2 linked regions of the Schizosaccharomyces pombe genome follow. Changing the gene in region 1 together with any one later gene gives a genetic interaction. Each region holds a gene or a part of one and is shown in the gene's direction. Other genes may lie near its edges.

What was found.
Region 2: mutations in sec73 (region 1) and alm1 are lethal when combined (synthetic lethality), as found in Schizosaccharomyces pombe (one study listed by BioGRID).

The regions. Positions count from the first base shown.
Region 1 is NC_003424.3:2,488,095-2,494,883, forward strand, and holds sec73 (guanyl-nucleotide exchange factor Sec73), read left to right. Parts: upstream 1-1,981; 5' UTR 1,982-2,768; coding exon 2,769-6,017; 3' UTR 6,018-6,269; downstream 6,270-6,789. Other genes in the region: ltc2 (BAR and PH domain-containing protein), read right to left, coding at 1-843; RING finger-like protein Ini1, read right to left, coding at 6,720-6,762.
Region 2 is NC_003424.3:3,190,772-3,198,714, reverse strand, and holds alm1 (nucleoporin Alm1), read left to right. Parts: upstream 1-1,947; 5' UTR 1,948-1,999; coding exon 2,000-7,183; 3' UTR 7,184-7,268; downstream 7,269-7,943. Other genes in the region: ntr1 (RNA-binding splicing factor), read left to right, coding at 7,924-7,943. UniProt on the Schizosaccharomyces pombe protein: Maintains the proteasome and its anchor cut8 at the nucleus envelope and is required for kinetochore component proteostasis. Proper kinetochore stoichiometry ensures the correct attachment of kinetochores to spindle microtubules during cytokinesis.

The DNA.
Region 1 (6,789 bases):
GGGATCGAAACGATATGCGTCTAAATTAGTTGGTGGCTGTACTCTCTTAAGAATTTCCTTCTCAATTCTATCAAAAACGTTAGATACTATTCTTTTTAGTGAAGGATAAGATTCCTTAAGTTTAGTTTCGTAAGAGAGTAAGCGAATTAGTTGATCATTTATATGCCTATTGGACTCGTGCAGACGATCAGTCAAACGAAACGTTTCAATTGAAAACTTGCAAATGCTTTCAATAACTATGAAATCAATGGATGAGCGAAAGGAGGTAACTCGAACTACGTATTGTAGAGCAACTGTAAAATAACTTTTACGAGCTTCGTATAAAGATTTTGCTTCATCCCGCATTTGCGATAAATCTTTTGAATGTCCAAGAGAAGAATACCTTAAGACTTCCGCATCATACTTGGCTTGCTCGGCTTTAAAGCGATCATTTAATTGAAGCAAAGGCTTAACTTTTGAATCTCGAAATAGATCTAATGGAGCAACAATAAATTTCCGTAAATTTTTAGCTTGTTGAAGTTGCACCATATATGACGACCGAAATAAGTCTTGACCGTGAAGCAAAGCGGTTGTTGCATAATCAGGATCAAAAAATCCTGAAGCAACATTAGAAGGCATAGCATTCAACGACATACTGGCGACAATGGGCTCTATCGCCATTATTGACTCGATAAACTTGTTGCAGCAACATAAGAAATCATGAGACCATTCGTTAAACGCTTTGATTTGATTCCCTAGATAATACATGCTCGCCCTAAAAGACGGAGAATCAATGCTACATTCGTTCAGTAAGACTGGAATAACATGATCCTTTTTTGAAGACGCATTTGCAGGAGCGGCCATGATTTTTCATTTCCTTCTATTAGTTTCCAAAAACTTCAATTCATATAAGAAAGCATTAAGAACGATATGTCCACTCGTCTAAAGGATGATTTTTAAACCGGTATATGCGCTTTCGGCTGTCGGATGCGGCATGTTTGTAGCGGCGTACTTGATGTTTTTGACTTAAGAGTGACGCTGCATTTTTTAACCAAGATGAAGCAATTCGTTATATTAGAATAACGATATTTAAGTACTTCTATTATAAGGTAAACAAATACGAAATAACTGAGTGTTAGAAATTTAATCACAAGGAAAATGTTTCAGCTAGCTAAGGAATTTTTACTTAAAATATATAAGTGAAATGATTCCATCCTTATACATATCATAAATATAAATACATTTACTATTAGAAAAATAAAAGTGCTTTTAATTTTTCGTTTTCTTCTTTTTTAAGTAAAATTTACTAAGAATGAGTTAGCCTTATTACAAAAATTGTGGCACTAATTTGTGAGCATAGTATCTTAATTTATACTTGATGTTTGCACTTAATCTTTTTTAAGTCATTATAAAACAATATACAAATTGAGCACGATCAATAACTGTAATGGTCAGGTTTGGTTGTACTTCAATTGGTATGTAAACAAAATATTTGGTAAAGTGGTTAAATAAATTTTATGAACAGTTAGGAATTATGTATATAGTAAAACAAAAGCATCTCTAAAATTATAAAAAATACCTAGATTTTTCTGTTGTGGGTAAATTACTTGTTACTTTTTTTATTGCCACATCTGGTTGCTATTTGCTTTCAAAATTAATTTTTAAAAAAAAAATTATTATAATGAGTAAAGGGTGCAACCTAGAAACATGTTCAGCTGAGCTTGTTAAAAATATTTGTTATGTTTATAATTTTGAAGTAGTGTATCTTAAGCACTTGCGATAGCGAACTAAATTTTTCTAAATCATTGACATTAGAAATAAAAAAATAAACTACATTATGGTGCCATTTGCCCCATTAGATTATCAGGAACATCGTGCTAGCCATTTGCTATCTACGTTTCTATCAGACCATGTCGGATTTGGTCATACGAGGAAGGGTGTGGCAGAATACCTTGCGGTGGGCGGGTTTGTATGCATTGGGCGATAAAGACACGGGCATGTTGTGGACGGAGCAAATAACACTACTGTAACCAACAAAACTAGTATTTACTTTTCAATTCTTTTTTCTGGAGCACCAAAACTTGTACTCATTATTAAAATTCTAGGGAAATTAATTAGTTGAATTGGTTAGCAATTGACGATTCATTAAATTTCCTGCTATCAACCCAAGGACATGACTTTTGCTCATTAATTTTGTGTTCGTATTTCCATTGAGGGTTTCAAATTACTAGAGTTCATTTTACTTTCGTTGCTTTGCTTATTCGGTTTGCTCTGCGCTGCCTAAATCAGATCACACTTGGTTTTTGTGCTTTTTTTTTTAAAAAATTTCGATTCATTTGAACCGTCTCACAGAAGTTTCACTTTTACATCTTCGTTTCAGTTTCTCGTTCTTTGTTCATAACCATTTTTCATCTTCCATACCTTCCAGTTCATTACTTTTCATTCATTTCATTTCATTCCATGCTGCATGCATTATATTAATCACTAATTGTTTTTCCCTTGTTCGTTCGCTTCGGTAGTTTCTCAATTGATTTTTCTTTTGATTATTCGGGAAAAAATATCTGTTCATTAAAGGTAATACGTTGGTTGCTTTCTCCTTATTACAGTCAGTTTTATCCTCGTATAGTCGACAAATCTATCTACTGTCTCCAATTGTTATAAATTTAGATCCTGACTTAAGTTTACATTACATTTCTTTTTGAATCTTCCTTTCATTTTCGAGGTCTCTCTTTACTTCAATCTTTTTTAAGTCTTTCTTTTTCTTCAACTTACATGCGCCGAGGCGCGAAATGACCTTCAGAATTCCTTCCAGCCAGGAGTCTTCAAATAAATCCGAAAAGGATACCACTGTAAATTCTCCTAACGCTTCTAGTTTCTCCTCTTTCTTTAAAAAGTCTAGTCAGACATATCTGTCCAAACGTTCAGAAAAACTAAATGAGCATAACAGTAAACTAAAGTCAAGCGGATCTTTCACAAGTAATTCACAGACCGACTTGAGTAATTCGCCCTCTTCTAAGAAAAAAAATATTTTTTATCCGATCGCAAGAGCCAAGCACTCGTTTTACTTCAACCACAACTGGTCTTCGGATTTGCAGCAAGCAAATTCTCCTGTTGCATCGTATTCAAGTCAAAGCGTTTCAAACGATTCCAATTTTCCAAAAGATGTCACGTCTCCTATTTCGACAGACCTAAGCGGTTCCAATCCTTCTTTGAAATCACCATCTAGTATCAACTCGGCGAAACTTCGTGCTTCTCGATCATTTTTTCGATTTCCGAAGTGGTCTAGGAAGTCCTGGAATCCCGATGTTAACTCAACTACTAGTTCTCCTTCTGAAGTTGGTTCTCTCGATAAAGCTGGTGGCCCTCTAAACCAGCAAAATGAGAATTTGTCAGCGGAATCTGATAATACGATTTTACAGAATGGTACTCGGAAAAGTAGTGTCAAAATGTCCGACCTGGGGAAACGCATTGCTTCTTTACCTGTAGTAAAAAGACCTCCTATCCAGTTTTCCATATCTTCTGATTACATTAAGCCAGTTGATAAAAGCGATCAGACTTCTAACGTTCCATCACCTTCTTCTTCTGTGGGTTCCCTCCGGTTGTATCGTTCGCCTTCTATTCCTAATGATGTTGAACAACCACAGCCACAAAGCTCTCGGTCACGGCCTCGTAGTTCTACGATTCCTACCCAAAGGACTTTAGAAAGATTGAGAGAAAACCGTTCTAGTATTTTTAGTTTTCGAACTTTGCGCCGGGATGATGACGAATGCGTAGCTCAGACTATTGAAAATTCGGCTTTATTTTCTGATATTAAGCCTAATCCGACCAAGTTTCTTTCTTCTGTTCCGGAGCTCACAGCAGATGATACTGCGGAGAGTTATCTCTCAAAGCTTAGAGAGACAGTTCCTTATAGTCGTATGATCCCTGTTCTAGCAGAAAAGGATCATGTAACATTGAACAAAGCTCTGCACCTTTGTATGTCGGGAATGGAGTTTGAAAATCGGCCGTTGGATTTTTGCTTGCGGTTATTTTTACTTAAATCTCACCTTCCTAAGGAAACTCAACAGATTGATCGTGTCATCAATGCATTCTCTAAGCGCTATTTTGAATGTAACCCTGGGATGTTCAGTTCCCAAGATCAGTGTTACATTCTGGTGTTTTCTTTGATGATGCTCCACACTGACGTTTTTAATTCAAATAATAAGCATAAAATGACGAAGCAGGAATTCATAAATCTCTGTGACATAGATGAATTAGCTCCGGAGATAATGGAGTATTATTATGACAATATTACCTTTACTCCTTTTGTCAACCTGGATGATGAGTTGCTTCTCATTGAGAAGGAAAAGAACGAAAAGTACAATTTCACATCTCGTAAAAGGTTAGGGCTTTCTCCTTACACATTTACGTTAGAAAATCAATTGAATATTTCACGGCCTGAAATATCTCTCTCTTATGATGGAAAATTCATATCTCCAGGTATCAAAGATATTGCGTCTTTGCTGAACGTTAGAAAGTTGATTTCCAGCCCTGCGATAATTCAGCTTGTTTCTAAAAGATCTCATCCAATGGCATTCTCCAATCATTTTATTGGATTACCAGACAATGCTGACCCGGGACTAGTTGATTTTAGTATCAGTATGCTGGGCATTTTACCACGGTGTGAAAAGAAGCGAAGAAGTGTGGGGCACAATTCATACAAAGAGCATTTGGTTTTGTTGACCGCTTCTAGAATACTTTTTTTTCGTAATTTGGTATGGGCTAAAGATCTCATGGCTCAAAAGAAAGCTTATGAAAGGCGTTACAAAAATTTTACAACTACCTCGAGCAGTTTTGACACGTTGCAAGGTATAGATACAGAGGCTATGGAATATGAATTTCCAAAAATTCCTCCGCTTGTATTTACTCCACCTCTAGAAGAGTTTTCCCCCGATACCAGTTATTCGCTTGTTAATGCGTTTGCCTATTGTGACAGAGATAAGAAGAATGTACGCAATTGTTCTTTTACCGTCATATTTCGGGATGGATCTGAAGAGACTCTTTGTGCTCCAACAGAAGAAAGCATGATAGAATGGGTAGCTAAAATTAACTACATCTCAACACTTCGTACAGCTGGTCTGCGAATGCCTGTAAGTGATTCTTACCATCCTAAAAGAGACTTTTCTTGCTATCCAAAGTATATGGAGGAAGAATTAGCAGCAATTGAAGCTCAAATGAAACAGGATATGGAAATTGCACGTGCCCGGACAATTAAGACACGTATTGACCAACTTGAAACATCTATTACTGAGTTCAATAAGAAACTCATGGTATTACAAAGAAATGCCAAAAATTTATCGACATGTGCACCCCTACAGCCGAAAACAAGAGTAGTTATTTTACAAGCCCTTAAAAAGGTCGATGCTAAAGCGCAATCATTATATTTGGAAATCAGAAAAATGGAGTCACAATTGCAAGTATTGCGGTTTGAATCTGATTTAGATAAATGCATTTCTCTTGAAAGTTCTAATGACATCGACGACAGACCTTCTTCGACAAGCCCAAGCACCCTAAAAAATCCGAGCATCAACTCAATCAATCGTCAAACACATGATGTTGAAAAAGAATCATCAGATAGAGATGTACCGCATCTTTTGGATCCTGATAATAATTTCAACTTGAAAGGCAACCCCGAAAACCCCTCATCGACATTTTTTACTCCTGAAATACTTTCACCAAAGGTTTACTCGGACAATGTTAAAGATGAGCCTGTCGAAGATATTTTTGGTTTTGAAGATACAAGCGAAAGCTCGCCCGGTAAACCCAGCCAATTGAGGCTTCAAATTGAAGCCTTTGATGATGAATTAGCTGACACAGCTAGCTTAGGTTCCGTGACTACATGTTTAGATCAATGGCAAACATTTTCGGACGATACAGATAGCGGGTTTGCTTTGAACCTGTACTCATCAGAAGATTTTCGCACGGATCCATATAAGGAACATGATGAGTTTAGTATGAATAGCCTATCGAAATGGCATTCTGCTACTTCTGATAATTAGCATGTATATCAAATGTTAACTACTATTATCTAAATATTTGTTCATCTAAAGTGATTTCTCTTTTTTTTTTTGATTTTTCTTATTTGAATTCATATCCGCGTATAGACAAGGATTCCCGCTTTATTTATTAATTATCTCTAAATCCATAATAATAAATTTTATCTCTCTTAGCCGTTCGAAAGTACACATTGCTGTAGTTACGATGCTTTAAGAACATTAATTGAAGAGCGTAACATTTGGTAGCGATTTTGATGTATTATGGCAATTCTTAAATATGTGGAAAAATTTAAGCGTTTATGTTAATTATATATTTTATCCGTCGAGCTACTTGGATTATGAGATGATCCACAAAACAGAAGACTAAAGGAATAGGTGGATAATGAATAAACATGAGTCTAATTAACTTCTAATAACAATTTTTAGTTCATTGATAAATGTCGTACTACATTTCGAAATAATTCTGCACCGCATGTAGAAAGACGAAAAAGAGTATAAACTATTTTTCTTTGCTTTTCAGCGAATACGAGTTATAAAAATTTTTTTGTTTTCGTATATTAATACCCAAAAATTAAATAATGCTGCAAACAATCAATAGCATAGTAAGTTATAAATTGAAAATAATGAAAAAGCACCAAACATAATATAAATACCATAACCGGAAATTAGTGGAATTAGGAAACAAGTCTACCATTAGATGTACTATTAATACGTTGCACCCGGCATTTCTTTTCCAGCATTTTTAAACCTAAAAATGGTGAGTATGCGATGCAAA
Region 2 (7,943 bases), 700 kb from region 1:
CTGGAGTTGGCTGATCCAAACATGTTAGAACCCGCAGTGTTCGCATTTCCGAATAAACTTCCGCCAGTGCCGGTAGCATTAGTAGCTGTGTTGGTATTAGCACCGGCTCCTAAACCACCAAACAAACCTGTCCCTGCTGGTTTAGGAGCAGTGGTAGCAGTGGATCCAAAAGCTGGCTTGGGAGCATTATTAGCATTTTGCCCAAAAGAAAAACCTCCGCTGGCAGGAGTAGTGGTCGTGGAACCAAAACCGAATCCAGAAGGCTTAGTGGCTGCATTATTATTGGCACCAAAGGAAAAATTACTACTATTGTTACCACCAAAAGTAGATGTTGGAGCGGTGTTATTATTTGCCGTATTATTATTAGCGCCAAAACCAAACAAACCTGTACCCATGGTACCTGAATTGGGTTGGTTATTCGTGTTGCTTCCAAACCCCCCAGTAGAAGAACCAAATCCCGTACCCGTACCAGTGGCAGCACCACCAAATAAGCCACCCGTAGTTTGACCTGTTCCTGTATTGGTTGCGTTATTTGAACCAAAAAGACCCGTTCCTGTACCAGTATTGGTAGTGTTAGTGGTTGAGCCAAAACCTGAAAAAGCTGGTTTTTGTTGATTAAATGTAGAGCCACCAAAAAGACCGGTTGAAGGAGTTGAGGTGGTATTATTGTTTTGACCAAATAACCCACCGGATGCATTATTTGTTCCAGAACCAAACCCTGTATTGGTAGTGTTACTACCAAATGCAGATCCACCGCCAAAGAGACCGGAACCAGGAGTGGTATTAGTAGCATTCGATGTACCAAACGGTGTTGCATTATTTGTGGTACCTGACAAATTCTGACCAAACGGAGTAGTTGAAGCTCCAAATGCGGGTGTTGAACCAAATGCAGAAGTAGTGTTCGTACTAGAAGCATTGCCAAAACGTCGTCCTTGATTATAGTCTTGTAAACGCAACTCTTCAAATGAATAAGATCTATAAGCGGGCATACAAGTTATAGACTGGAAGACACTAGTACCGTTTGTTTGAGGGTCTTTTTCAGAAGTTACCGCATAAGGTGGGTTAGCTGTACCATTCACAGCGTTTGCATTGCTTGAGACAAATCCAGAGGTTCCGAAAGCGTTGGTCGTAGCGGGTGTAGTGGACGAACCAAACAAGCCACCACCAGTACCTTGCGAACCAAACCTGTATTTCCAGCAGTATTGCCAGCGTTATTTTGAGAACCAAACAAGCCACCACCGGTACCAGTATTCGATGCAGTGTTACCGAACCCTGTTGAACCAGCGTTCGATCCAAAAGAAAATGACGTTCCAGTATTTGCATTGTTGTTGGCGGTATTTGATCCAAAGAGGCCACCACCACTAGGATTTGTGGCGTTGTTCGTGCCTCCAAAAGCAGGAGTATTGGATTGGCCAAACATACCTGTCCCAGAGGACATTCCAAAACCTGTGCCACCAGTCGTGGTAGTGTTGTTTCTATTTCCAAATAGTCCACCGTTCGTATTTGATCCAAACAAGGGTTGAGTAGTGTTCTGCCCAAAGCCAGTTGTAGAAGTGTTTTGGGAACCAAACAAAGTGTTCCCTGGAGTATTGGAGTTGGAACCAAATAACCCACCAGTTTGTTGATTATTTTGACCGAAAGCACCGGTTCCTCCTCCAAATCCGGAAGAATTGTTTTGTCCAAACATCACTAGGATGATATTTGATTAAATAATTAGTAAAGTCACCAAAATTGGTGTTGTGTGGACGACAGGTCCGAATAGTGCACTGCTACTCAAGATACGTTCAAGGCGTGATAGAGAAGAATACAGAAATTTAGCTTTTTTTTTAATACTCACGGTAATTACAATTTTTAAATTTGCTTCATTTGTTTTTCTCAACGTAATTGTCGCATTTCTTCTAACGTGGTATTATTTCTGTACATCGAGGTTGATCACTTACTTCTCGTATACGTACACTGGTGCTTCATAAGTCATCGAACGTTGATTCCAGGCTAGAAAATGTCTTCGGGGGGACTTGAAGATGATATTCAGCTGGTACACGAGTTTTTGGATGTATCTTTTGAGGATATAAAACCCCTGGTGTCTGTCAATGGTTTCGCTGTATTTATATCTGCTATTAAAACCAAGGTTAAAGACATAAACGCTTTAAAGGATCAGCTTGTCCTTCAAGAAGTCAACCATGAGCATAAGGAGAATGTTCTTACGAAGAAGATTAACTTTCTTGAGCAACAACTTCAATCTTCTAATAATCAAGCAGAGGAATCACGTAATCTTATATCGGTATTGAGAAATGAGAACGAATCGCTGAAAACCAACTTGGAGAATCAAAATAAGCGCTTTGATGCATTGACTACTGAGAACCAGTCGCTTAGAAGGGCTAACTCTGAATTACAAGAGCAATCTAAGATTGCTTCTGAGCAGCTTTCAATCGCGAAAGATCAAATCGAAGCCCTACAAAATGAAAATTCACATTTAGGAGAGCAAGTCCAGAGTGCGCATCAAGCATTGTCTGATATTGAAGAAAGAAAGAAACAGCACATGTTTGCTAGCAGTAGCAGTCGTGTCAAGGAAGAGATACTCGTTCAGGAGAAAAGCGCTTTAGTCTCTGATTTGGCTAGTTTGCAATCAGATCATTCGAAAGTTTGCGAAAAATTAGAAGTTTCATCTCGTCAAGTTCAAGATTTGGAGAAAAAGCTTGCTGGGCTTGCCCAACAGAATACAGAGCTTAACGAAAAAATACAGCTTTTTGAGCAAAAGCGGAGCAATTATTCCTCCGATGGGAACATATCAAAAATCCTTGAAACCGACCCCACTTCAATCAAAGAACTTGAAGAAGAAGTGGAAACTCAGAAACGACTTACAGCTCTTTGGGAGTCTAAATCTTCAGAGTTGCAATCAGAGGTTGCTGCACTTCAAGAAAAGCTCACTTCGCAACAAAGTCTATACAATAATGTGACCGAAGAGTTAAATAATAACAAGCAACAGCTATTGATTTCGGAGAATAGTTTGCGGGAACTGCAAGAGAAATATGATAGTGTAGTTAGTGAACTACAAGTGGTTAAAGAAAATAAAAATACCTCTGTTTCAGCTGGTGTAGGTTTGTTTTCTCCTTTGGCGCAAAAGTTAAGCGCCGTTCAAAATCCCGAATTTTCATTTACGAAAGTATATTCGGACAATATGAAACTCCAACAGAAGGTTTCTAGCTTAAAGCTTCAGCTAGACCGCTTGACTAACAAATTCTCCTCATTTTGTGAACAAGTTAAACAAAGGATTCCAGTTGTCAAACAACAGAGGAGTGAAATCGTTAGGAATAACATTTATATGAATTTTCTTAGCGAATCTTTGGAAACATCTAACAACAACCTAACCAAAGTACAAGCAGAGCTTTTATCGACCAAAATGCGCCAAGAAGCTTGTTACTTGCAGCTCACCGCATCTCGTACTCAATGCAGTGATCTTTCTCGAGAAGTTATTTGTCTCATGGCCGAACTTGATCATTTGAATGAAACTAAATCAAGAAACGTTCCCGCTACTGTGCAAGTTGCGCTTGATGAATACGCTCAAAATCCCTCTACTGCATCTGAGACACTAGTAAACAAGGAGCTTGCTAATTTTTCATCTATAAAGGAAGCTGTTTCGAAAACTCTAGAACTGCGGGAAAAAGTGCGGGCCCTTGAATGCGATGTTGAAATCCAAAAGCAAACTGTCCAATATCAAATTTCCAATGCAGTTAAAGAAAATTCAAATACACTTTCAGAGCAAATCAAAAATTTGGAAAGTGAGTTAAATTCGTCAAAAATAAAAAATGAGTCCTTACTTAATGAACGAAATTTACTGAAAGAAATGTTAGCTACTTCTCGAAGCAGTATTTTGTCTCACAATTCTTCCGCGGGCAATATTGATGACAAAATGAAATCCATTGATGAATCTACAAGAGAACTTGAGAAAAATTACGAAGTTTATCGTAACGAAATGACAGCTATTCAGGAATCCTTGTCTAAGCGAAATCAGGATTTGTTGAGTGAGATGGAAGCAATACGTAAAGAGTTAGAAAATTCCAAATATCAGCAGCAGTTATCTACTGATAGATTAACTAATGCTAATAATGACGTTGAAGCCTTTAAAAAGGAAGCCAAGGAGCTTCGTAGTATTAATCAAAATTTACAGGATATAATTAGTCGACAGGATCAGAGAGCCAGTAAATTTGCCGAAGAATTATTACATGTTAACTCACTTGCTGAAAGATTAAAAGGTGAACTAAATGCTTCGAAGGGTGAAAAAGATTTACGGAAAAGGACGCAAGAGCGTTTAATATCTGAAAACGATAAACTTTTGGCTGAGCGCGAGAGACTAATGAGTCTTGTATCAGATCTTCAAACTTTTCTTAACCAGCAACAGCTATCTGATGCTGCTAGAAAAGTAAAATTTGAATCTGAGAAGGAAAGCTTAAGCCTTTCCTTGCAGAAGTTGAAGGAGTCAAATGAAAAGATGAGTAATGATCTTCATTCTCTACAGAAATCTTTGGAAAAGAGCGGAATTGAGTACTCCAGCAGGATTAAGACATTAATGCTCGAAAAACAATCGTTAAGTGAAGACAACAGGAAATTGTTAGATAATCAACAAATGATGGAAATAAAACTCCAAGAATTAAACGGCGTCATTGAACTTGAAAAACAAAGATTTTCTACTTTGGAAGCCAAGTTTACACAGCAAAAAAATACGTCCTATAGCGAAAGGGAAGCTTTGCTAGAATCATCGCTTAGTGACTTGCAATCTAAACATACTTCCTTAGAATCCCAATACAATTATTCTTTAAGGAATATTGAACAGTTACAGGCCGCAAGCAAACTCGCCGAAGAAATGGTTGAAAGAGTTAAAACTGAGTATGATGAGTATCGATTGCAAACTTCAGAGTCCTTGGAAAAAAATCATTTAAAAATCACTTCTCTTGAACAAAGGATAGTTATTCTACAAGATGAGATAGCTTCTTCTTCTTTACGCTGTGAGAATATTACTAAAGATAGCGAAACAAGAGTTGCCTTGCTTTTAGAGGAAAATAAGCATCTTAACAATGAGCTTTCGTCACACCGAAATGCTGAAAAGCAACATTTAGAGAAGGAGAATGATTATAAACAACAGTTGTTGTTGGTAACTGAAGATTTAAGAAAAACTCGTGAAGATTATGAAAAGGAACTTTTAAGACATGCCGATGCTAGATCGACTCTTCAAAAACTGCGCGAGGATTACACGAAGGCATTAGAACAGGTTGAAGATTTGAATAAAGAAATAGCCTTAAAGGCCGGTATAAACGAATCTCAGCCCTTTCCCATTAGTGAAAAAGAAGATCCTTTGAGACAGGAAGTTTATGTCCTCAAAAAGCAAAACGCAATGCTTTTAACCCAACTTCAATCTTCCAATCTCAACTTTGCAGAAATAACTAGCCCATCCCCGGATTTAGATTCTGTTATGAAATTAGGATTATCAGATTTACAGAATCATGTGAAGCGTATATCCAAAGAAATGGAGATTATTTCATGCCAACGACAATTATTATTCCTTGAAAATAAGAAACTCAAGCGAACCGTTGAATCATCGAATCGAGTTATCGCCGATCTGCAAAGAGGTATAACGGAAAAGGATGTTAGCAGTACTTCTGAATCCGTTGGGGAACGTTCAAATTATCTAAACATGGTTGCTTTATTAAATGAGAGCAACAAATCTCTCCGAGAAAATTTAGAAAGGAACGAGGAAGTTATCACAGAGTTAAGAGAGAAAATAGAAACTCTTAAAACTGATTTGGCGAATTTTAGACTTAATAAAGAACAACTAGAATCACAGCTTCAAACAGAGAAAGCAGCTGTAAAAAAGCTTGAAAACAGCAACGAAGAATACAAGCGTCATAACCAAGAAATATTACTATCTTTGAACAGTAGCACATCTACGTCTAGTGATGCTTCACGCTTAAAGAATGAACTTGTTTCCAAAGAAAACTTAATAGAGGAGTTAAATCAAGAAATTGGTCATTTGAAATCTGAATTGGAAACTGTTAAATCAAAAAGCGAAGATTTGGAAAATGAGAGAGCGCAAAACCAATCCAAGATTGAACAATTAGAGTTGAAGAATACAAAACTAGCAGCTGCTTGGCGAACTAAATATGAGCAGGTAGTTAACAAGAGCTTAGAAAAGCACAATCAAATACGTCAACAACTTTCGCAAAAGACTTCTGAATTAGAAGCCAAGGTTGCGGAATGTCATCAGCTCAATGAACAACTCAACAAACCTTCTGCAACCCCCACTGCTACTACACAGTCTGAACCAAGTACGGTGTCACTGGAAGAATTCAATAGCACTAAGGAAGAACTATCTTCTACACAGCGAAAGCTAAGTGAAATTATGGATATCTTAAATACTACGAAGGAGGAGCTTGAGAAGGTCAGACAAAATAGTAATAAATCTGAGGGAACCAGTAAGGATACTGAAATACCCAACGAAGAAGAAATGGAAAGGAAGAAAGTCATGCAACAGGAAGTTTTGAGGTTACGTTCGAGAATTGCAAAAGAGCTACAGAAAAACGAATTACTCAGGAAACAAAATCAGGTTTTACAAGATCAAGTGAAAGCTTTGCAAGAGACAGTTGTGTCATCCGAGGAAGCAGAGTCCGCTTCGGTACATGCTGATACTAAAGATTTGGAAAACTTAAAAAAGACAGAAGAGATGTTATCAGTTACATTTCAAGTAATCTTCAACGAGTCCATATCTGACTTTTCGACTTCCACTGCCGACTTTACTACTTTTGTGCAAAAGGAATGGGAAAAGCGCAGAGAAATTTTACAGAAGGATGTTGAGGAACAAGTTGCTCAGTCGCATCAAAAACAACTAGATAACATCCGAAAAGAACTCGAGATGCGTAACAAGTTGAAGTTGAGCATGCTGGAAAAGAACTTAGCTAGAGTGCGAGCAGAGTTGGAGCAATCGAAGAAAAAAGATAGCCCTGCAATTTTAAGTTTGGAAGCTTCTAAAAACACTGATTCCAATAAAAGCAATTCTGAAGTCCCAGCAGCTCAAGTTAAAGAGAAAAAGTTAATCGCCAAAACTCACTCTGTTGACACTAATTCTCCTCCTAAACGGTCCAGTTCAGACGCTGGTATGGATGTTTCCAATGATGTTAAGAAAGCCAAATAGTAAAATATGAATTTTTTGGTATAATGCCCTTTTTAATGTTTCTTAAGAGTTTGTAAACAGATAATAAAATAGGTTAGCTGCATAATTATTATTTCTGGTTTCCAATAAAAAAAACGACTTTAATTTTATTATAATAAAAAGCTTTGTATTGTAATTTAATATTTTGATATTTTTTGAAGAGCTATAGATATTTTGCGCAACTAATGTCCTTATTCAGATATGTAAGCTACGCAGTTTGGTATCTGATTTAAGGATACGTAGAACTGCGGTGAGTTTTCCTTGTGGTCTATTATATTACAATACACAGGTTGTATAAGTAGCAACTGAGTATAGGTATTGTATTAACTGGGTTATAATGTTACCTATCACTAATATAGCTCATAACTGAACTGAGGAACGAGGTTCAGTTGTAACGGTATTTATAATATTTCTAAATAGTTGTTATCAACGGGTAACTATGTATATAGACGGATAGTTACCCGTGATTATCAATAAACGGATCTTAGCTAGTATTCCAACATATGACATATAGTGATACGCAACGTAGTGTATCATAGCGTAGTGTAGTATTGCTGACAAGATAAAATAAATAATGACGTTTTCGCGTGTTCTTAAGCTTAAGAACGTAACGCGCAAAAACTCATTATATGACATCCATATTTAACCCACTGGAGAACTGACCCAAAATAGAAAATTTCGGTTTTCATTGGTTTTTATTTATATTGAATTCTTGGGTTGATATGCAAAATGAGTATGTCGA